Nothobranchius furzeri: one gene and its partner. The protein of the gene in region 2 purifies or fractionates together with the protein of the main gene of each other region. This does not show direct contact. Links are inferred from orthologs where the notes say so. Each region holds a gene or a part of one and is shown on either strand. Other genes may lie near its edges.

What was found.
Region 1: the proteins of cpvl (region 2) and capzb purify together in Homo sapiens (affinity purification with mass spectrometry; 3 studies listed by BioGRID and IntAct, with this or other methods). This does not show direct contact. The link is inferred for Nothobranchius furzeri from reciprocal best matches to the Homo sapiens genes CPVL and CAPZB.

What each region holds. Positions count from the first base shown.
Region 1 is NC_091743.1:46,428,119-46,431,933, reverse strand, and holds part of capzb (F-actin-capping protein subunit beta), read right to left. Parts: intron 3,577-3,815; coding exon 3,455-3,576; intron 2,728-3,454; coding exon 2,614-2,727; intron 2,541-2,613; coding exon 2,399-2,540; intron 775-2,398; coding exon 658-774; intron 581-657; coding exon 515-580; intron 399-514; coding exon 322-398; intron 1-321. UniProt on the Homo sapiens protein: F-actin-capping proteins bind in a Ca(2+)-independent manner to the fast growing ends of actin filaments (barbed end) thereby blocking the exchange of subunits at these ends.
Region 2 is NC_091745.1:35,786,029-35,790,336, forward strand, and holds the start of cpvl (probable serine carboxypeptidase CPVL), read right to left. Parts: upstream 2,878-4,308; 5' UTR 2,753-2,877; coding exon 2,748-2,752; intron 2,637-2,747; coding exon 2,461-2,636; intron 2,394-2,460; coding exon 2,272-2,393; intron 1,476-2,271; coding exon 1,361-1,475; intron 1,282-1,360; coding exon 1,223-1,281; intron 1,145-1,222; coding exon 1,065-1,144; intron 972-1,064; coding exon 905-971; intron 828-904; coding exon 705-827; intron 532-704; coding exon 400-531; intron 330-399; coding exon 231-329; intron 153-230; coding exon 1-152. UniProt on the Homo sapiens protein: May be involved in the digestion of phagocytosed particles in the lysosome, participation in an inflammatory protease cascade, and trimming of peptides for antigen presentation.

The DNA of each region.
Region 1 (3,815 bases), on a different chromosome or scaffold from region 2:
GGCCTTAAATTTGACTATTTTTATTTATCACTTTTTAATACTTTTTAAAACCCCGCGGACACCCTGTCATTAGACAGAACTAAGTGGAGTCACAAGTCACTGACATTCAATTCTAGTCAGGTTGCAAGTCTTCCTATAATTAACCACGTCAAGTCACACCTGAGTAATGGGAGCAGTAAACCCTCTGGTTTACCACTCATGCCCATGTGACTGGGAAAGTCAGCTTTAAATAAACCACCAGATAAGAGTTAAAAAAGGCAGTTATGGAGGAACTGACTAGGAGCCCGATACCAGATCACTTGACAGCTCAAGCAGCCGTACCTTAGGCCGTTTACGATGTCCTTGGTCTTCCCAAAGTAGATTTCATTCAGCGTGGAGCGAATCTTGTTCTCCATATCCTGACACAGGACATTAACAACTGTTAGAGTGACCTAAAAATGACTGATGACCACATCACCCCGCAAATAACCTGTAAAATATTATTTCACACTAAATATCTCCAAGTGATACTGACTTCAACGAGTCGGCCGATGTTGGCGATGTGGGGTGAAGATTCTCCAACCGTCTCATCTTTCTCCATCTAGACAAGTAAAAAATAAAATGACCTGAAGTACCACTGCAGCATCACAGAACAAGCTGTTCAGAGCAGAGACACACCTGTCTTGTGAGGCTGCCACCCAGGTTCATGGTGCCAGAACCGGTCTTGGTCGTCTGGAGCCACAGCATGACAGTGGAGGTGAGTTTATAGTGAGCAGTGCGACCACTGGACTTCTCCTACAAACAAAAAATATTTGAATATTATATGAAAAACTAACTAAGACTCAACAGAACAGCATGTAAACAAAACGGACCAGAACCAGCTCATCTGTCAGAACTGTTGGATGACTATTTGGGTGACTGAACCAGCATCTTTGGTCCAGAAGAGCATTCAAGGCCAGTTAGATGTTCCCTAGGGCATTTCCAACACAAGCTACAATAGTTTTATAAAGAGGACAGATGTGCTACTGAATGTTTGGTAAAGTTAGTCATGGAGTTCCTCAGGATTCAGTGATGGAACCAAGACTCTTGGACCTCACAGGATAAATGCTGATGATGGTTATCTTCATCTCTGAAGCCTCGTGATCAGACTACAAACATGTTTAAAGACATAAGAGACATAAAAACCTTTATTTTGTTTTTAAATGCAGACGAGCTTATTTATGGACCCGAGCCCTTTGGGAACAAAATGAGTTATTAGGTTCCTCTGGATGACATTAACCTGTCTTCTACCATCACAAGGAACCTTGGTGTTGTGGATCAGGACCGTCTTTTAGCTCTAATACAGAAACATGTTGCTAGGACTGCCTTCTTCCGTGTTGTTGCTACATTTTTGGAATATCCTGACCCAGAGTGACAGCCTGGCCTGCCAGACTCCTGCTCTGTTTAAATCTGCACAGAGAAAAGGTCTGGGAACTCTCCTATTCAAATAACCCCACCCTCTGAGAATTCTAACCGAGCCAATCAGCGCCGAGTAGCGTACGTCACACACCACAATGCCGAGTTTGTCATAAACATGGCGTCTGAAGAGGAGTTCGCTGCGGCTCTTTCCTCTGTTCTAAATGACTTGAACGTGTCTTTAAAACCACAAGTAGAAGCACTAAAAGCCTTTCTTCTAAAACAACTAAAATTCTCTCTCTCTCTCTCAAAATATATATATATATATCTCATCTAGATATATATATTGATATCTATATATATCTATAGATATCTATATATATCTCTATATCTATATATCTATATCTATATATCTATACACACACACATATATATATATGTTTGCGTCGTTGCAAGATGCTATTTTTGACCACAGCTAAAAACTACAGCATCGCGCGGTACAGTCGGCATTTTCATCTTTTTTCTGATTGGTTATTTTTGAGCTGCCTAGTCCCACCCCTCAAGTGCCTCTCTGCCTGTGTGTTACCAGACTCTCTGTGCAGAATTCAGCAGAGGACGAGTCTGACAGGCCAGGCTACCAAACTGATGCAGAAACAACTCATTTGCATTTATTGCATCTCCATGTTTACTGCAATTAGCACGATGTTTAAAAGGTTTTTAAAGAGGCCTTCAGCTGATCCAGAATGTTGACGCTGGTTCTTTTGGGTTGCATGAGAATTTCTCCAGTTTTAGCATCGCTTCAGTAACTCTGAATTTGAAAAAGCTCTGAAAAATCAGGCTGCTTCTTATTTTAGAGTGCTTCTTTTTCCAGGTGTCCTCAACCAAACACTCCTTTCTCCTTTCTTTTGGTGGTCACTTTGCTTTTGAAAAACTGCTAAAACATAAAACATTCTCCCATCACAGGAAATTATTAAAGCTCAGATTAAAAACCATAAAGTCAGAAACAAAACCAGTTTCTGCTCACCTGCACTTCCACCACATGGATAGAGTCCCAACACCCTTTTATCTTCTTGGATCCATCCCCCGCCTTTTTAATGAGAATTACTCCAGCAAAACCGTGATCCAAGTCCCACAGGTACACAGAGGACACGCCCCCTTCAAAGTACCTGAAGAGCAAATGTATGAAGTGTGAATGCCCGTTGCAGAAATCCTGAGACGGACAGCCCTGCTAGTACTTACAAGTCTCTGTATTGGTCGAAGGCGTTATTAGCTTCGACTTCGAGTTTTCTCAAGCGAGCCGAAGGCATGGCTCCATCTTCAATAGGGGGTTCATACTTATTACTCCACGGGGATCTAAAGGAGAACACGTAACAGAATGGAATGTCAAGGCGGTTCTAGAATAAGGGAGAAAAAACACCAGGAAAGGTCTAAAGACTGGCTGAAGCACAACCAATCAGGATCACAAAATATAATCATTAAATCAGTCCATAAAAGTGGAGAAGGATGATGTCACTAAACAACTGTGCACGAATAAATGCTCACCATTAAAACTCATCTTTACAAGATGAGAAAAAGACTTGATGAGTTTTGGAGCCAAAAGAGAAAGTAGTTTTATGTTGTTGGCAAAATGTTTCCCATTAGTTTTACAACTTACAAATCAGACCATTCATAATACAAAAGAGAGAATAGCTAAATAAAAACCAGACATCCTGAGGGTAGATCAAATTAATGTCTGGCTTAAAGTCTTAAATTACACTAATCATCTTTAGTTCTTGTTGAGCCAATGTTCAGCTTGTAAAAAGACAATTACGATGATATCTTTTAAAGAATTGATCATTTTGCTCAACTATAAAGGATATGTTCAGCATCTAATGACTCCATATGATGTACAAAAACCACAAATGACTACTTTCATGGTAAAAAAAATCAGAATATCATACCATCTCTAAATAGTCCAACACTTTTGAAAGCTTTAATCATTTTCCAGGTAACATAACACAAGGGTTAAACATGTAAAGTGTGTGTGTGTGTGTGTGTGTTCTTTGCAAACTGCAGACATAATTGTCCTCCTAAACTCCACCTGTAGGAGTCGCCGTCTCGGTTATAATCACAGAGCAGGTAGTCTTTCCCCACTACCTTGTCCCGAGCAATTTTCAGGGGCTGGTCAACCGAGGAGAGCAGGTCCTCACACAGACTGGGTACCTGGAGGCAAACGCACAGAAAAAACAGGTGATTAGGATAATTCAGATCCAGATTAGCTTTATTAATCCTCCAGGAAGTTCAGTTTTCCAACAGTAATCTCTAATTTCCCTCTGGGATTAATAAAGTATCTTTGATTGATTGACTGAGCAGGTCATCCACAGAAAAAACGGTTTCAACAAGAAATTTTATGTAGAAAACAACAGATTATTGAAGAATACAGTCTAATAAAATATACAAAA
Region 2 (4,308 bases):
CCCAGCCATGGTTTGATGCTCTTCATCACATCCTGAAGGAGGTGCTTCTCCACCTCCGAGCCGTCGTGGAAGGTGAGGTTGCCCACGTGGATGGAGCGTCGCACGGCAGGCAGGGTCACAAACTCGGAGAAGTACTCCTGGTCCTCAGGCTCCTGGAACATTTAGATAGGAAACACTGGCTGCGGTGTAAAAACACTGAAGTGTTGCACACCACAGGAGAAAACCAGTACCTGGCATGTCATGTAGTTATAGTAGTTCGTGCAGCCAGTTGCATTTTGAAAGAAGGACGGATACGGGTCCATGTCGCCGTTCAGCAAAGAGTCAAACACCTGAGGGCAGACTCGTTTACAGCTGAAGTCAGACCACAGCACAACCCTGACTCATTCTCCCACGGCTCACCTTAAAGGCCTCCACCCACTTCTGCTGCTGGATGAGCTCCACACCCAGGTCCGTCTGCTTGTTCACGTACTGCTTTTGGAGCTCATCGATCATTCCCGTTTGGTACAGGAACTCGCCGTAACCACCCAGCATCTGATGTGGGAGAAGAGGCAAGTCCCCGGTGAACGCTCAGGCAGAAGACTTAGACGTAGGTTTGTTTAGAGACACAATCAAGAAATCAGCCGTAAAGCATAAAGAGTGTGAGGATAGAAACACAGCATTTATTTAACCAACAGCATCATATGAGTAAGGTGCAGGAAACACACCAGTTCTGGATCACAGAGTCCATCTCCAATAGCCATGCCCTTAAAGTTGATCTTCACTTTAGCAGTGGGGTTGTTTTTGTGGATGTAGTAGGAAACAGCAGGAACGTACTTTCCTGCATAAGACTACACACAGAAACGTCAGCTAGGACCCAAAACTCGAGAGCTCTGTTCATCCACACGGACCAAAAGGTCAAAGGTACCTCTCCGGTGGCGTAGAACTCGTTGGACTGATACTCAGGAAAGAGCTGGAAGAACTGTGTCAGAGCACTTTTACAGGACAGAGACAAAACCAGAGGAGAAGTCGGGGTAAGAAAACACCTCGCCAAAGGGGCGGTGCTTCAACCGAGACAGGAAGCAAACCTGTACAGATCTCTGCCCACATCATCTTGGTTCTGAGCAAACCCGCCATCGTGTTCGGTGAAGCTGAATCCTGTTCCAACCTAAAACACAGAGGCAACCTCAGCCCCGTCTGGTGGCGTTAGCCTGTTTGTTGTTGTTTATAAAAGGAGTAAACATACCGGGTTATCTATGTACAAAACCGAGTATCTGCTTGTCCAGGAGAAGTCCCTCAGACCAACTGCAGGGAAAGAAAAACAAGAGTTTATCCAAAATATCCCAACAAAACAAAACTCTGCGTCACAGATGACGTCATTTACCTGTCAGATTCTTGTAAACCACATAAGGGCCGTGCTCCACAAACAGCCCGAACATGGAGGTCCCTCCCGGCCCGCCCTGGAGCCACAGCAGCACCGGAGCCCCCTCCTGGCCCGCCTGCAGGTCAGGGAGGAAGTTAACGCACCAGCGCCACCTGGTGGTAGGCTTAGTTCTGCAACAGCCGGATTTGACTGCACTTCCTTTTGTTTTTACACAGAATGAAACCATAAAATCAGCAGGACACACGCGGTCCTGTCGTCTACAAACACGGTTTGTTTGTTTGTTTGCAGCAAACGTTTGAACTTACTGGTGACCATTTATTTAAAAACAATCATGTTTATAGCAAACAAGACACAACGACATCTAAACATGGTGATAACGTTCCAGCAGGGTTCTCAGATTGTATGACAGAGTGAACATTATGCTTAAAGGAGAACTAAGGAAGTCATTTTATAAACATGTGCTGTTGGACACTCGTGCACCCTGAACCCCTCCCTCCTGAGCTGCTGCTGCTGCACCACACACATCCAAACTCAGACTAGCCTTAGCTCAGCTCAGTAAACAATAAAAACCCAAGTGGAAGCTCCAGGTTGTTTCTGGAGACCTGCTGTTATCTGCAGTGCTATCTGTGCACCAGTTTGTTGCTTTCTGGATGTCAGGTGAGATGGCACACGTGACTTTCCTACGCTGCTGACCAGACAGATGAAAGCTCGAGTTACTGATTTATCGATCACGCATCAGGAAGAACAAAGATCACCGGAGACATTCCCGCTCCGTCCTGCTGGAGGACTTTGGTTGTTTTCAAACACGCATTCATCAGATACATCTGATTAAAAGTTGTCACTAAACACATGCAACTGCTGAGCTGAAGAGACCTGCGGAAGCTCCGATCAGAAGGAGAAGCTGGACCTACCATGATGGCAGGGAAGAACCAGAAGAAGAGGTTGCTGTTGTACTTCTTGTTGACTGTGAGGTATCCTGCATAGCTCTTGACGTTTGGCCCGGGTAGGCTTCCTACCTGACTCAGCTTCCTGGCTGAGGAGAGAGACACAAACACGGGTGAGGAGACGTGCTGCTAGCTACACGCACAGGTGTGCTTTACCTTCGTCTATGTCGCCCTTTTCCAGATACGGGGTGAGGAAAAGAGGGGAGCCGGGGTCCGCTCCATTCTGGCCGCTCACACGGTGAGACTTTCGGCAGAAAAACGACGAGCAGGGGTGGGAGGTCACCGTCACACAGACCCACAGCAACAAGAAACCTGGAGTTTGCTTCAACAGCCTGCAAACACTTCATATCAGACTACAGGCCTCGTGTTTCACAACAATAGTCCCACCACGCACCACCTGCGGGCTCAAACGGCGGGAAGGGCCTGAATTAGTCCAAACTCACCTCATTATCCGGCCGTTTCTTCGGTAACGGGACCAATTTCACCCCCAGTCTGGGAAAAATCCAACTGGACTGTTCAAAAACTCTGAGTGAGGCAGTCACGTGACCAGACCTAGGGCGGTCACGTGAGATTCAGTCACGTGGTTTATTCTGTCAAGGAGCGTAATTTAATCCCGGAGCGCTGTCTGGCAGGATTTTCAGCCGTTCCTCAAACAAAGCGGGTTGTTCAGCTGTTGGACCATCTCTAAAGGTTGGTTCAGACGTGCCTGGCTGAGGAAACCCGTACAGTTACAGCAACTTGTCCTTTATAAAAGAAAATGTCATTTAGTCCACTTGTTCAGTCTTATACCCCATCCCCTCACACACACACACGCACACGCACACGCACACGCACACGCACACACACACACACACACACACACACACACTTGTTGGCTGGGTGATGGTGGTTTTGCAGCGCGGTTAAGCCTGGTTTATGCTTCTCCGTCAGCTCCGCAAGGGACAGACACGCACGGATTGACGGAAGCGTTTTGCTCTTGTACTTCTCCGTCTCCTGGAGAGTGTTGCAAAGCAATTGCCTGACAGGACAACAGAGGGCGTAGCGCTGTTCTGTGGTATCCTGTCATGCATCGGTCCAAGATCGTGTGTTTATATTGTGGTTTTTGTGTATATAAGTGACTTTTAACAGGTACATATTTGTCTCTCATTCTCCCACCCCTTCATGCGCTCCCCACCTCTAAACCCACGTTTCCTGTCTTTTCCGTCCACAAATAAAATGCTTGCTGCGCATCTTTTCACTCCTCCAGTCACGGGAGAATTAAACGTTCATATTTTTAGAGTTTTTTCGCGAGGTATTCTTCAAGCTTCTCCGTGTCTGCCGCTAGTTATCCTCGGCTCTCTTTGCAATGGCGGCGCTGTAAACAACAGCGGCATCCTGACCAATCACAAGCTTGCGTAATCCGTCTCGTTCGACGGATGTTTAAAAAAGTGGGCTCGACTCCGTACGTACTTGCGTGCCCTACGCAAGTACGGATAATGGCGTTGCGTGTCTCCGCACTGACGCAGACGGAGAAGCATAAATCAGGCTTGAGTCTGACCAGCCAGCCCCGTGCTTAAGGGGAAGAGCAGGTTGGTTCAGCATTAGTTTTGTGTGTACAGTTAAACAGAGGAGGAACCTGGCAGGCCATTAGTGTCTGCTCGCTTCTCTTTTCTGATATCATCGCGCGTCCTTTCTGTGGGTCTGTTTTGTGTCTTTATTGGGATGTTTATCAGCTCGGGCCACAACTCCGGGGCTCTTTGTTGTGGTGTCCGAACCACAAATATCCACCAGGGGGCGCAAAACACACAGAAACCCATTCAGTTCAAGAGCTTCTAACGTGACACAGGACCTGAAGAAAAGGTGCAGATCCGGAGGTGGTCTGCCACCGACATTTACCGTGACCCACCACCAAACGGCAGCTTCTGAACGGGCTGCCTGAGATCCCGGTGTTTGTTCCGCCTTTCATGTGCTCCAAACTTTCACTTTAAGAAGGCGAGCCTGGGCTGCAGTGTGTTTATGCTGGTC